Linked DNA regions of Mytilus edulis. The protein of the gene in region 2 interacts with the protein of the main gene of each other region in a pairwise test. Links are inferred from orthologs where the notes say so. Each region holds a gene or a part of one and is shown on either strand. Other genes may lie near its edges.

Region 1 (8,439 bases), on a different chromosome or scaffold from region 2:
TAAAACTGCCTCTTCCTTGTTTTTGATGATTTTTAACTCCTTTATATCACTGCCACTGTGAAAAGAGTAAAATAAAATCATAGGTTTGATTTTTCATCAGGACATTAATTGAGCAGTATTTTAATGTAAAGTAAGTTAGGCCACGGTTTTTTTATTTGTTGGTTTACGGATCCGCCGACCCGATTTTGCCGATTTTCAGAATAAAAATAAAATTGACTTTTCATGCTTTTTTATTCCCGCCGACCCTTATCAATGCAGTATCCCTGAAAAATAATTAAAATTTCTTTTTTTATAAAATAAAATGCATTTTAAATCATTAACAAAGTTGATAACACTTTCTGTTGTGAAAAATAAAACTTCCAATTTACGTTTCTAAAAATAGACAAATCAATTATAACTGACCTTGAAATGTCTTTTGCGCAAATAATTTTGCGGAACGAAACCTGTGTTGAAAACCTATTACAAAAATAAGTTCCTTTCCCTTATTTGTCATCAGTCCGTAAGATGCATCATCTCAGAGAAATAGACTTGTCCAAATGTTGACAGGTGGAATAACATCAATTAAAGTACTGAATATTAACAAATCATTTGAAATTTTCTTGTTTCATATTATCAATCATTGGGATAAAAACCGGATTGCATGACAACTGATTAACCCGATATTGTCGTTTTTCCAGTGGACGAGTCTATTACGTTTTTCGACACGTGTGTTGAAACTTATTTTTGTACGACGTTTTTACATTTTTTTTTCTTTATCAGTTTTTGTAACTGAAGATCATTATTTACCAAGTTTTCTGGAATTGATTGAGAGCTACGGGAATCTGTTTTTCTTGTTTGTGAAATGACGATTTAATTTCGTCTTTGTCCGTGCAACCCCTCTTTTTTACAGGAAGTTATTACACGATGTCCTGCGATGTTCATGATCACTGATCAATAATATTTCATAGAACGAAATGTTAAGAAATGATTACAAAACAGCAAAAAGACAAACATTTTGTTAAGTAAGGTGAAATATATATTTATTTTGCATATTTTTCTGTTTTGAAAGATATTTTTTTTTCTTTTTCTTTCCGACCGACCGACCCGACTTTTTTATGAGAAAAATCTGTAAACCAACAAATTAAAAAACCGTGGCCTTAAATATGAAAAAATCTCAGAAAGAGGCAACATTTTGTCAGGTTTTGCACTCTTTTCCACTGATAACCTACCATCAAAGTTTCTTCTAGTGTGAAGGATATCATGTTTCAGACAGAAATCCATACCCCTTGAGAAATGCTTTCAAGGAAACCTCATACTCCCTATTAAACCAAAAACAGAATTGTTCAAAAAATCTGTTATGTATTCTGGACCATTCTTGTGGAATAATTTGCCAATTACGTTAAGAAATATTTCTTTCAAATACAAAATAACAGATCATTTATTGAAATCAATCTAGCTGTATCAATAATATTGAAAACTGTCATCATGTTTATTTTTTCATCACATTTTATCAAGTTGTATTGAAGATTATTATCATACTTGACTTTTTATACTACTGTATGCATTGTATATGTTTTTGCATTTTGTTTGATTTCTCATGATGAGGGCCTCAGGGAAGATTAGTTATATAGCTACATGTAACTGTGTAACCCTCTTAAAATAAAGTATTGTTCATCAATTTGCCTTATAAACATGATAAATGTACTTTCTTTTAGAATATTTTCTTTAAACACTTTAATAAAAAGTCATATAAGCTTCAAATTTCAACACAGTTCTGTCAAATATGTTTATTTGTAAATCTTTTTTGAATTTGCAAAATTTCATGATTCAGATTAAGCATGTTAATTTGTTAAAACATTACAATGCAGATGAGTTAAAACATTAAATAATATCATGATTAATGACAAAATTGAAAACCTGGTTAATTTTGCCTCCAGTATTTCTATTTTATATATTCTTACCTGATTGTAATGCCTTGTACATCACACTTTACACCATTTCTGTAGGCCTGAGTGATTGAAACCATCTGTGTTGATTCATCAATCTTAGACACCAGACCTTGGTAAGTACCCAGGGTCTCACCACAGTCCAAAGACACTATACTTCCAACAAAACCAGTACACATTTTAACCTGTGAAAAAATAAAATGCAAAATGGATCATGGTGATTATAATGAATATTGTGACTTTCTATTGTTTTCATTCAGTATCAGAAGTGAGTCTTGTATAGAGCATGTTATTAACATCCAACTGTTCTTGACATATTATCATCCTGAAATGCTGAATTGTTGCAGTGACAGGAAAACTTGTATTACCTGGTAGTACACAAATAACAGAGCTCTGGATCAAGCAAATTACTCATTACATGCAGTTTACTTTGTAGAAATCACAAGTGTACATAGACATGATACATTAAATTTTTTGTAGATGTTAATTTTTCAAGGCTCAAAGAATTTAAGACAAAATGCAAGCATTGTTAACCAACAAGGATGTCTAACTCATGATGGGGATTTGACTATACTCAAACGCCAAGTGCAGATTTTCTCCTAGGAGCATTTTGCTCAAATTATGTATTTTTCTTTCTGTGCTTTTCAGATGCACAGGAGATGAAAAGCACAGGAGAGGTTTGTCTACAATTGTACAAAGTAAATTTTTGAGGTGTGAAGACAACCATATTTGTCAGTTCTTTTAATACACTGAAACTTAATTACATAAATTAAGTACATAAATAAAACATATTTTTGTAAAAATTCGACATAAAATAAATGTTTGGCCTTGGTTAACGTCTTTAGTGTATAATAACAGTAACAATAACACATATTGTAACGGTTCTGTAACAGGAACACAACTTTTCTGTGATATTAGAACATATTGATTCTGTACAATCAATCTCAAAGTATTTCTATTGATTAACATGTAATAAGAAAACACAAAAAATATCATTATCTTGCTATTTACGATGATGACCACAAATCAAATCAGCTGTAGAAATTTGTAAACAAAGGACCCAAACAAACGAAACTAGGTCACAGTCAGTTGCGAACTTTACCTTTTAATTTTGTATTTGAAAAGCTAAATTATATTTCCACAATAGTTACATATGATGTCCTTTTTGCTATCAAGTGTGTTTATCTTACCTTTAGTGTCGCCTCTTCACTATTTACGTTGTTTTTCAAAGAATATTTCACAACTTTCCACTGTTTTTCAACATGTCTTCCAAAACCGCATACAACATTGAAAACGAAGGATATTGTTTTTTTTTTTTGAAGTACAACAAATATCATTAAAAAATCAGTACCATCTTAATAATAAAAATAGTTAACAGTCAAATTCGAAAAGGTTATAAGAAAAAAAATGGTTGTAACTATCATGAAAATATTTGTTTTAAACGACCTTGAGTGATACAAGCGACTTAAGTATGCTGACAGATGTCAGGTCGTCTGTTGTATTTTGTCCTGTATCATTGTAGGATAGGACCTCTGGTGACGACCTTTTTCTAAAATCTTCGTTATCTCTTTTTCACAAGAAATATTCAGATATCAATTTTTTTTTAAACACTATAGTATACTTCATGTTTTAGTGTCATCTTTATAGTTTATGTTGCTAAAGAAGTTAAGTTACTTGCATACTTGTAAATGACATAAAATGTTATATAATAATGTAATTAAGTCCATCAAATTACTATATTTTTTTATATATATATTCAGATGCCTCTAGCGGGTGCTAAAAGGTGACTATAGGGTGTTCATGTCCATTAATAATGAATGCATGTACTTTTAGTACTTTTTTTCTTTATATTTACGTGCAAATTGTTTTTGCAATTTTCATTTCATGTGTTTTTGTCAAATAACACTGAAAACTAAATAAAAAATGAGATACATGAATCCCTAAAAAGGGGGCTGCATCTTGCAAGTCACTCACAGTGAAAGCAATTTGATGTGAAGTCTGAAGACAAGTTTTTGTTTTTGAAATTTCCTACATTGTACATGAGGCATTTGCCTAGATGTAATTACGACCCTGTTATAAAAGAGAGGTAAATGTTCCCGAGACAATATACCTCAAGTTAAATGAAACCCATTTTCAGACATTTCAAGTAAAATTAATATTTATTAATTGTATTACACAGTGGCGGATGCCCCCCCCCCCCTTTTGATCAGCCACTGTTACCTGTATTAAAAGATTTGTGAAGTTTTTCCTGAAAAAATCAGGGTCCTCAGATTTGCAAATTAAATGTTATCATTAATGATCACTAAATTAAATGGGTTACACTTTGTTTATATGAACAATACCCAGGAAGGTTAACACTAACATCAAACTAACAACTACTTCTATGTCAGATGTCTATGAAATAATCATAACATGTTGTGATTAATATGAACATATGATACTGTGAATTACAGTACACATAACTTATGTCGCACACAAAGCCTTCTCCATTCAATATGAATACAAAGATATGTTGAGACATCAAACTAACAACAAAATTAACAAGAGACATATAGAGGACCACATAGACTCTTAACAATAGACAAGTGTCTATACAATCTGCCTAGTTTTGTCCATGTAGGATAAACAATCAATTTCAACTTGTACTAAAGCTGAAAAAAAATGTGAAAAATTATGCAGAAAATTATGCAGTAACAATCAAAAAGATCTGCAATTTATACCTACTTTTCCACATTACATAAAGCATAATACAAGATGTGACATACAACAACTGTTAAGGGTCGGGTGGCCTGATCAAGATAATTAACACCAAAATTTGAAGAAATTAAAAATAAAAAATAAAAATTTGGAGCATGAAAACCAAACAACAGAGTATTTTAGTTTTAGTATTACTTTAATTAGTTCAACAATTTGTTTCTATTTCAGGAAATAATGACAGGGTTTAACTTATATGAAAACAAAAGTAAAAGAAACTGGAAACAGTTTAAAGGGAGACAAAGAATGTTCAAACTACAGCTTTCAGGTACTAGAATATTCTAAATGATAAAAATACCAAAGGACAATCGTTCGCTTGAATTTCAAATGTAACATAACTTCTAAATGTGTGAAACTTGGTTCTTCAATGAATCTATCAGTTATAACACAAATACTGTATAATGAATTTATTATGTGATGTTCCAAAAAGAATTTTATAAAACAAATTTTAAACAAATATTTTTGATATAACTATCAATACCAATTAACAAACTTCTTTAAGGTGGACTGAGCAAACAGTTCTTAATAATTTCTAATACTATTCCTTGAATATTTTTAACAGGGCAAGGGTGTGTCTGTCCAGAAGTTGGTTGCATGTAATTTTGAAAGTCTATTTCTCTGATTACTGTTCAACCATAACAGTACGCTTGTGTAGTAGAACATTATCCACCAAATAGTCACCTTGACCTGCAATTCATTCTTCAATATAAAAATAAAGGACATGTGTTTTAACTGCCAATCAGACTACAATCCTCCAACAGAGTTCCAAATAAAGTGGATGTAAGCAATAATAGTTAACCATACAACCTTCAACTATGAGAAAAACCCATACTGAATAGTCGGCTATAAAAGGCATAGCATGATAAAGATAGAACAATTCAAAATAGAAAAATAACAGCCTGCATGATTTATAGCAATACTATTGAAAAAAAAATAATAAAAAAATATATATAGAAAATTTAAGTAAAAATAAATAATCTTGAAACAAAGAAAGATGGAAATTTGATAATAGAAATATATGACATACTAGTATCAAAATATTTATTATAGAAAACTATATAATTTTGTAAATATACCCTTTATGTTAAATTCTTAATAGATAATAATTTTGAAAACATATACCAGGCATGGGCCAGAAAGTAAACATCAGTATGAAGAATAAAAATCTGACTTTTAAAATGGTGGCCTTTTTCTTAGCTACAGACTGGTAGAATGTGGAATGTAACCCTTTAAAATATTTGTCAATTTTTTACCTATTTACTCTACTGGTAGGAAATAAATTTAAAATCTTGATAACATCTTGAAAAACACTGAACAGTTACAAATATTGCTTTATTTGTGGACATAAAAAATGAAGGAAATGTATTCTCTGACAAAATGTCAATAGAGATTATCCTCTCAGAGGTTATCTCCCCCTAGTTGATTATGTATCATGGTAGATGTTATTCCCCTTCATCTAATCCTTCCATGCCACCTAAGATACTTATGTATGATCAAGTTCATCTGTCTGGAGGTTATCTCCCCTTAGTTGATTCTGGATCATAGTAGATGTTATTCCTTATTGATAGAATTTTAGTAGGTTTTTCTTTAAGAATGGGATTTTGAATAAATGAGCTTATTCACCTGCTGAAAAAGGAAATTCACCGCGCAAAACGTCACAAGCTTTGACGTGCATAACTTTGGTAAAAAACATTTGATGTATAATTGGTTTTTGGTAAATAATTGCTATTACATAAATTTCTCTCTGAAGATGAAATAAAACAATTATTGTCCTTTGTTTGAGTAAATATGTGGTTTAATTGATTTAAAAATAAAAAAGATATTCACTTCGGCCATTGGCCTCAGTGAATATCAGTTTTTCAAAAGTCGCTAAACTACTATTTACCTCATCAATAGACAGTGATTGTATATCATTCAAAACCATGCCACCTAAGAAACATATGTATGATAGAGGTTATCTGGTCCGAGTACACAGTTATCGTCCTTTGATTTTCGTTGTCCACGAATATAGTCCTTAGTGTGGACAGTGTGTTACTTGCCAATTTTTGTTATACCCCTTCCAAATTTATTTCTCCATGTTTTATGCCTCATATAGCAAGTTGGGGGGTGAAATGACACTGTAAAAAAATTTGGGTCATAAAATATTAATGTAAAGTAGTGATTAGGTCCAGCTGAAAAAGGTCAAAAATTAGCTCTTCAGAAGCTGTCAAAAGATTTCAAGACCCCCTTAACATAAAATTGTCCATATTTTGAGTTAGAGCTGATGAAGTTTTCTATAATTTTGATATAATTTGCCCCAAAAGTAGTACAACACACTGTGAAAATATTATTGAGAAAGAGCAGGTGGGATTTTTTTAATTTTCATTTATTGTCTAAAAGAAATGCACTACGAAATAACTGTGTACTCGGACCATCTGTCCAGAGGTTATCTCCCCCTAGTTGATCCTGTATCATAGTAGATGTTATTCCCCTCCATGCCAACTAAGATTCATATGTATGATAGAGGTTTTCAGTCCAGAGGTTATCTCCCCTAGTTGATTCTGTGTCATAGTAGATGGTATTCCCCTCCATGCTACCTAAGATACATATGTATGATAGAGGTTATATGCCTAGAGGTTATCTCCCCCTAGTTAATTCTGTATCAAGGTAGATGTTATTCCCCTCCACACCACCTAAGATACATATGTATGGTAGAGGTTTTCAGTCCAGAGGTTATCTCCCCCTATCCTAAGATACATATGTATGACAGGAATCAAGCAAACAAACTTGTCACTGATACCTTGATAAACCTTTTAATTAAATGCTTTACTCTCAGTAGAAATGGAATTTTAACATAAATGTATTTCATATATACAAAGGATTTTATCAGCAGTCAAGAATATAAATGATTTAATCTGTCTTCTAAACGTAGATAAATCAATAAAGAAAAATGAGACTTAGCACCTGAGATTGTATGAAGGAAAATAACAAGCATTAAGATCTGATTAGCAAAAATTCCAAAGACTTCCATGCTGTCAAATAATCAATCACTTACCGTCTACAGTCTAATGATTGTTAATCTTTGAAATGACAGAAGCAACGGTATTTATATTTTAAAACAAAACAATACCAAGAGGCTCCTTTTGATTTTTAATTCATGAAACAACATTATTTTGATGCCCTTTCTATAAAGATAGTAGGGGAGCATTAACTTTTCCAGTATGAGGTTTTATAGTATGTGTGTCTCTCCACCCCTGATGAATTATACGGCCAATACTTTAATACAAAGAAATACTACTGATAAGTAATTTAAAATTAAAATCCTTTTTATGGGTAGATAAGATTTTAGATATTTTTTCACTAGCCCTATGACTTATTTGAATAGTAAAATATTTGTTGAATGCTTGTCAGTCAGAAAATTAACTAGGTAACAACTCAAGTAAATTAATGACTGTACTTGACTTCTACATGTACCCTTGCCAGAATTAGTATTAGTAAAATTCAGATATATTATATTTGTTTTATGGTTTTTATTACATTTTGTTTGTTGAAAAAGAAATCCCTATGAAAGTAATCTTCTGTTTAAAGCATAATAATATGATGGATAACCAGATGCATTATAAGCACAGCTTGAATGTGTTACACCCCTCCGTGCTCCTCTCTAATCCTTTAGTCTAACCTCACTCTCAATAATAGACACATAAAATTGAAAAAAGTATATACAAAACACCATTTAAGACTGACATTTCATTTACTGGTTTGAAGAAAGAGTTAATAATGT
Region 2 (8,195 bases):
AACATGGGTGCAGCATCTCTACCAGAATTTGGTGAGATTACTTCCCTTATTTCAATTGTATCATCAGCCAAGAAGTAATGTAGGATCATTTCTCTTGGATCACCAAACATGGAATCGGTGTCGTCCCAATAACAGAAGAAACGTAGAACCTGTCTATCATGGTCAAGGAATTGTTTGAGAGTGTCATGTTTCTCGTATGGTCTTAGAGCTTGCATGCTTTCATCCATCTGTAATAAAAAAAAAATATTGTTTTATCAAGGTGGTCAATTATAATTGTTAGATCATGATTAATAATAAAACACAGCTTAAAAATGTTAACCTTAAAAAGCCAGTAATGAAACCCTTTAAATCTAGTTTAATATAACATAAATAACTTAAAACACACATGTCTTCCTAGCTATAGTACATGTAAGGGCCTTAAAAAAAATAACAGCAAAAAACAGTATAAACAATTGAAAATAACGGTCCGTAAATTTGTTACGTACTAAGGGGTTTCTGGAATTACCTGAACCAGGATTCCTCATACACTTGTATCGTTAAAAAAGTGAAATTTTATCAAGGATGTGTAACTACATGTATATAAACACATAAAAAGGAATATGATAAAAAAGAGTAAATATCTTCATGTGGTATAAACTTACAGATTTTCTGTACTTTGTGTATGGATCTGCTGGATTTTCATCTGGAACATTCACTTTTACACCAAGTTTTCTCAGGAAATTCCTTGAAAATTCATCACAATTCGTGATTTTGAATACTTTAGAATAGAGGCTAATTTCTTTTCCTACGTTAAAGTCCTCTATGGTGTAGAATTCATCATCATTTGGTGGTGGTTTGGGTACCCTGTGTCTTCGGATGAGTGTTCCTTTGAAAATAAGTAACATACATTATGGTTTGAACTTTGAGCACTAAAAATTCACACTGTTGAATTAGAACTTTTTTTTAATTATTGTACATGTGAAGCTGAAAATGTTTTATTTTGTATGTTTACCTCCTTCTCTCTTTAAGATTTTTCTCTGGTCTTGAAATATTATCTAAGAAATAAATAAAAACAAACAGCCTTTTTTTATATTTTGTTTACCTTGTGGAATTTGACTGTTCTTTGTTCTTGGTTCAATGACCTGGATAGAATCATCTTCAAGGTAGAAGTAAATTTTACAGTTTCTGACTCTGAATTGTTCTTCACGCTTCTCATGCACAGCTTCTTGGAAAAAAGCATCAAAGCACATGACCTGTCTATCAAATGCTACCCAGGCTGGTAAATTGGAACCATTTCCTCTTGGGAACACACTGCTCCTTGGTTTGACCTTTTGTCCCCTAAGGAGTTCACCACCAATTCCTGGCCTCTCCTCCCCAACCATCATAGTCACATCATTTTTAGTATCAAAGTGATGGGACAAGTGGTATTTTGTTTTACCAAGCTGAAAAATTCAAAAACTTCTATCAAACTCTTTAATTAATTGAAAAATTATGCAAGTCATCGATAAAACTGGAAGAATCAAAGTGCAATAGCCATGTTTGAATCTTAGCCTACAGCCATAAATGAGATAACAGGTTATTAATCTAAACAAAATTTCAACAGTTAAAGAATCAGCGTTGAGATAAAAGGTCAATGCTGAGACTACAACACTTTTTTTATTTTTTACAATGGCTTGTCACTTTACAGAAAATGACAAGCATATAGTTTGCCATTTTAAAATGCCCAATTTTTATAAATGATGACATACTTATGGGTTTTGTTTATTAGAAAAAAGTTTAAAATTAGAAAAAAAATCATTTTATCATGTTTGAAATATAATAATGAAATTATGTATTATGAAGCTACATTTTGTAGTTACATGCAATACATGTACGATGTATGATGTATAATTTGTCATCGTATATAATTGTTATTGTTAGTTTTTGCATGCGAAAAGCTCTAAAAATTCGGCTGTCACTGTTCATGCTGCTTCTCTGTAAGTTTTTAATCCTAAATGGTATATCTAATAAATAAATCATAAACAAGAATGCAGTTAACATTTTTTTCTATGTCTGATCTGAAAGAAATCAAGAAATTATTACACAAATCATTAATGTTAAAAAATAGCGTTTTCATGCTAAGTGCTGCTGAAATATATATATTTATATTTGTGAACATTCCATTTTCTAATCATCTAGTCTCACTTTACCCTTACCAATACATCCATCATCTTTTGTCTATGCTTTATATCCTGAATGGAATCAGTTTAAAATATAAATGTATAAAACATAAAACAAAATGTTTAGACATTAGAACCAAGGCGTCCCAGAAAAAAATATTAAAATAGCCTTGCAAGATGTTATAATTATTTGGACTAGCTTTGTTCTAAATTGGGTTTTAGGAATAGTTACATTCAGGGTAAGTTTAGTATATCTTTTTATTACTTGGGACTGGAAGTAAATATATAATGGGACATGCATTTTCACAAAAAATTTAGATTTGGCAAAGCAAACACCTTCACGACACAATGTCATATGATAAAGATTTTTTCTCAAACGTCTCTTGTTCGTCCAGGGCAGCTCATTAAAAAAATGAAATTTGAAAGTCGTCTATTGGCACATACATGTAGATGTACACGACATGTATACAGTAATCTATGAATCTGAGTATAATCAGCATACATGTACATGTAAATATAATTTTTAAACAAATGTTATTTATATTACTATGACAGCTTAACATAAGCATCATGACATCTTAAATGTACAGAAAATATTTGAATTTGAAAGTTGTATATGCAGGTTGAGGTGTTCAGCCAATGAACTTCAGCACCCCAAATCTTAATTGTTGAGACACCTCTTGCTGTCTTGACTCTTGTCAGTCTTGACGATGCTACCTCATAATTTTCTGGTTCAAAACGATTACACATCAAATGCATATGTTTATTTCTAATGATCACATAGGTGAACATATCAAAACAACTTAAGTGAGAAAACAACTAGTTTTATGACATGTGTATATGTATGAACAGATGATGTACAGAAATGCAGCCTTTCAAATCTACAATAATTGTATTTCTTAGACGATAAGTCAATATTAGTCACTTACATTTTTGTTAAAAGAATTTCCTGGAAGAAATGGCAGTGCCATGTTGTCAGTTTACCGTCTGAAGTCTAAGTTGTAAACTGTTTATTCCCCCACTACAACACTTGCAACCAACACAGACCGATGTTAGTTTATCTGTTGTCAAGGAGGCAAATTAATGCGCGTTCATAGAAACAGTAATATATATGTATGATTTTATTGAAAATGAGAAATTGTTTAACATAAACAAAAAAAATAATTAATGTGTTGTTGATAATTCTTAATCTACAAGAAATTTGAATAAAAACGGCATCAAATTATAAAAACGGTAAAGTGGTCGACAGGAAATTATTACACACAAGGGGGAATAACTCAAATCAACAAAAGCGACTGCGTTACTGTCGACTGTTATCGTGTTTTGCTGATAGCTAGTGCATTATATTAACATCTTTTCATAATTCTACATTCTACGTTGGCTTCTACGTTGATCTGTCTAACTTGACCAATACTCAAATGATAATTTTAAGTCGTTATTAAGTTTTTTGTATTCTGGTTGGAAAAAAGTGAACATTGTATAGGATGGCAGAGGTTTTTCTTCTTGATCTATTGTTATATTGTTTTTCCGAATTTTGAACAATGCTTTTTTTCCCTAAAATTACCGGTAAATTAAGATCCGGTGCCGCGGTCTTATAAAACGAGGGTTCATTTTTTTTTTAATTAAGAAACACATTTCCTCATCTCAATTTAAGAATGATTTATAGTGACTAAAGAAATAGAACTGAGGAACAGAGATACATCAGTTTTATTGCATTTTTGCGAGTTCAAAACCGGTAATTTACCATGAAATTTGCGTAAATTATGCAATTTAATTGGTATATTGTCTTCGATGAATCACTGATAATTGGGACAAATTTTTTCATTAATTAGATATCTATAAAGCACTGATTAATGTGACATATTAATGTTTGATTTGATATAAATAGAGAATTGATTTCAAAGTAAAATATTCATACAGGATCCATATCTTTTTCATATATCTTTCTTTAATAAAAATAAGAATAATAAAATATAATTCATCTTTGGTACCTTGTTCACACTGGGATTACTACAGAATAAATTTACAAACTGAGATCGAAAGTTACAAACATACATGGAGGAAATGTAAAAGTGTGGTTCAATCCAACCCTTATAACCAGTCTTTTACAAAAAATGCCGCATAATTTTATATATGTAGAACAGCAAGTGAAGAAACTGGCAATCGAGATTATTTTGAAGACGTTTACTCCTGACCAAAATCTTCTTGGTTTAAGGACGGATCGGTCAATTATTAAGAAAGAAACATAAACTTCGTCAGTAGCACAAAGACAGGATCAATCGCGGCATTACTCACACACATTAAACAACTGCAATTTTTTAAACCTGGAAGAACAAAAAATGACGACGATAGAGGTTATGGACTAAAACTTGTCTTTTGAGGTTTATTCAGTTTCAATCAATCGAACAAACCTTTAGATTATTGAAAATGAGGGACCGTTGTCTATATATACACATAGTCTAACATTGTTTCATCGAATAAGTCTAAATGGAATTCTAGCAAAATGTAGCTGGCCGATACGATATAATAATTAAAGATAGGAAATAATTAATTGCATATCATTCAATGTACTCGAAGAAGAGGCTGACGTTGGACCACCATGAATACAGATCGACAATAACGAAAGCCGAAGACAACGAGACAACATGGTTCAGCAAATTTTAGTCATGAAGTCTAAATACAACACAAACAGTGCAGATACTGTTCATTTGTCGTTGTTCTGTATACACTTTTTCTTTCTTTAAAGTAATAACGCGTTTTTGTATGTGTGAAGTAATTTTTCTTTCTTAAAAGTAGATTTGCCTTTTTTCTCTCTGAGCCATGATGTTGAATTTTCTGTTCAGGCAGTATGGGATAAAGGGGATAAAAAAAAGCACAGTTGATCGCTGCAACATGTACATCGAAAATATCAATTGATAAAAAAAATCAGAGGTAAATTTTCTATGCATTAATAATCTGCAGCCTCTACAAATGATTGACTTTTAAATGAATGACGAGATATGATTGGTCCAATTTTTCAACGACCCTTACAACAATGACACCATTCAAAATTGTACTAGTTAATTCGTTTGAAGAGGCTTCACATTATTCATGGTGAACCTGAATTTAACAAGTTTAATAGAAATTTAAAAGATCGTAAAAAGGTATTATACCAGTAAGATCCAGTAAAATAGGAGATAGGAGGATTGCTACATCGACAATCCTACATTTTTTAAAGCAATTGACATCGGTTAACTTTGAAAGGACATAACCCTACTATAACGAGTCTTCGAATCTCTTCAGAATTTGCGAATTTTGTGTTGTCGTTTCTTTGCTGAAACAGTTGAGATAATCTGATAATGTAAGAGAGGCAAAACTGGTGATTCTACTATTATACTTCTGATGAATAAAATCATTGAATATTATTTTCTTGCTTAAGATATTTATCAACCTCATTTGAATGTGACCCACCGAATTAGACTTAACACGTCGGTAGCCACTTGCAGAGCTGCGATCACCACGGTTTTTTCGGTCCTACTAAAAAGCGCCTGTGAGCGCCCGGGTGACGAAAAAGCGCCAGGGAACAAAAAAAAAGCGCCCGGGGAAGAAAAATAGCGCCGGGGAAGGGAAAAAAGCGCCCGGGAGAATAAAATAATTTTATAACAACAATTGTTTTCCTGAATAAAAAAAAAACCATTGCTTGTTTAGATGGGGATATGAACGATGCTTCATCTAAAGTGTGTATAGCTAGTGTTGTATAGTCACTGTTTTACATTATAGATTTCAAAATTTTATATAGGTAAGTAAGTAAATATAAACAATAGTATATGGGTCATTTTCAAAAAATGTCGAATTTTGAAATTGAAAAAATTATTAAAAGTTACTTATTCAAGCAACCCTCTACATAAGCAAATCAAAACAAACAGTACTTTAAGAACAACATATTAAAAGATGCAATCTTAATGATGTCATAAAAGAATATGTTGAAACATTTTTTGATCGGTGGTACATTATTTTGTCTATCCTGTTACCATTTTCAAAAGAAATTTTGGGTTATTAAGAAAAGGTTTAGATAAAATGTTAAGCTTGTTTTACGTAGTCAATTAGATGGTTTTAAAGAGAATACTTCTATATATATTCATTCTGTAATATAATAGATTATTTGCCAATTTTCCAGGTTGTACTGAAAAATGCCTCTAAAAAATGGTTTTCAAAGGTAATAAAAATTACCACCAGTAATGCAAGTCTAAGATATGCGTTTACTTTTCTACATTGGTTAGAGGTATAGGGGGAGGGTTGAGTTCTCACAAACATGTTTAACCCCGCCGCATTTTTGCGCCTGTCCCAAGTCAGGAGCCTCTGGCCTTTGTTAGTCTTGTATTATTTTAATTTTAGTTTCTTGTGTACAATTTGGAAATTAGTATGGCGTTCATTATCACTGGACTAGTATATATTTGTTTAGGGGCCAGCTGAAGGACGCCTCCAGGTGCGGGAATTTCTCGCTACATTGAAGACCTGTTGGTGACCCTCTGCTGTTGTTTTTTATTTGGTCGGGTTGTTGTCTCTTTGACGCATTCCCCATTTCCATTCTCAATTTTAAGATAGCAATTTATATTGTTCGGCATTTTTTCACCCTTTCAAATAAACCCAACATCAAGTTAATCCCTCATAAGTTAGTTTACTTTTCTCTTTATTTCGATGGTAACAGGAACGTACGTTTCTGATATATCACTTTACAAAAGTCTATCCTGTTACCTTTTTGTCTATCCTGTTACCGATAACAGTATTGCACTTGCGAATGCTTAATTGGGAATATTAAGACGTTATAACCTTAAGATGAGTTCAAACAACGAAATATTTCATTCGTTTTGCACCTATATATTAAGATAAAAAAATTAACGACGTTTTTGTCTACAATTGTCTATCCTGTTACTGTAACCATAGCAACCATAGTAACAGGATAGACAAATTTCTTTGTTTTTGTTTGCTGTTGTGAAATAATTACTCCCTTTGGTGAAGTGATTTATGTTTTTCCATTGTGAATTTGGTTTCCAGCACGTTATTGCACTTTTTACAAGTATACTGTTGGTGTAATTAATCAAAATTGGTGGTAACAGCATAGACATGAAAAAAAGTACGCTCTATTTTTTTCACTTAATGTCTTGAAATTTCTTTTCTCTACAATTTCGTTCAAGAAACGAGGCGTTTTAAATGTAAAGATTACTTTGCACTTTTGAGATCAACACTGACTGATTCAATATTCATAGGGAGAATAATTTAACGGCTGGTTTAAGTAGCGGTAACAGGAAAGACATGAACCTCCTGTACGCTGATTCAATTTAATTTGTAGATAATATGTTACATACAATGATAAAGAAGCTACGATTTTTCGTTAGAGTAATATTTAACGATCTTAAAAAGTCCCTTTTGCAGATATCAAGGCGATCAGAAAATCGCAAAAAAATCATTTCAAATGTGTTTTTCTGACAATGTACGCAGACAAATACCCCCAAAATTGGTCTTAAATGCAGTTTAATCTTATCAAAATAGATGTAAGGTGTGTTTATTATTAATGTTCTGAATCACAAATCCGACAAGCTTTCATTTAAACCATTACAACTGAAATTTCCATTAGAAATGAAAAAATTAGCATGGGTGTACTGAAAATTCGACATTTTTTGAAAATGACCCATATAGAAAAATCATGAACGATATTGTCCCCGATCAAAACGTATATTTCGATATTTAACGATAATCAGTGGCGGAGGTCTAATATTCGCAACTGTTTTAATAACGGTACATGTATAATACTGCTGTAATAACTACATACTCGTGGCAAATATAAACAACACAAACATAATCTTAGTTTGCCGACAGCCCGTCATGCTCGATGGACGCCAGATTGTATTATAAATATTTACAAATATTAATATCATCATTAATACCATTACAATGCATATTCAAACATCATACAATTCAAATGTACATATTATCCTAAATACACCAAAACCAAACTTCCGACTAAATGCACCCCTTCATAGACGGTCAAGGCCGGCCAGGAACAACTAGAGATAAAAC

The links. The genes of interacting proteins can lie anywhere in the genome.
Region 1: the proteins of EF-hand domain-containing family member C2-like (region 2) and enhancer of mRNA-decapping protein 3-like interact in binary tests that used the Homo sapiens proteins (3 or more experiments, as listed by UniProt). The link is inferred for Mytilus edulis from reciprocal best matches to the Homo sapiens genes EFHC2 and EDC3.

The regions. Positions count from the first base shown.
Region 1 is NC_092347.1:25,326,855-25,335,293, forward strand, and holds the start of enhancer of mRNA-decapping protein 3-like, read right to left. Parts: upstream 3,364-8,439; 5' UTR 3,263-3,363; coding exon 3,116-3,262; intron 2,111-3,115; coding exon 1,941-2,110; intron 56-1,940; coding exon 1-55. UniProt on the Homo sapiens protein: Binds single-stranded RNA. Involved in the process of mRNA degradation and in the positive regulation of mRNA decapping. May play a role in spermiogenesis and oogenesis.
Region 2 is NC_092346.1:46,850,658-46,858,852, forward strand, and holds the start of EF-hand domain-containing family member C2-like, read right to left. Parts: upstream 3,412-8,195; 5' UTR 3,110-3,411; coding exon 3,068-3,109; intron 1,422-3,067; coding exon 1,082-1,421; intron 866-1,081; coding exon 642-865; intron 228-641; coding exon 1-227. UniProt on the Homo sapiens protein: Microtubule inner protein (MIP) part of the dynein-decorated doublet microtubules (DMTs) in cilia axoneme, which is required for motile cilia beating.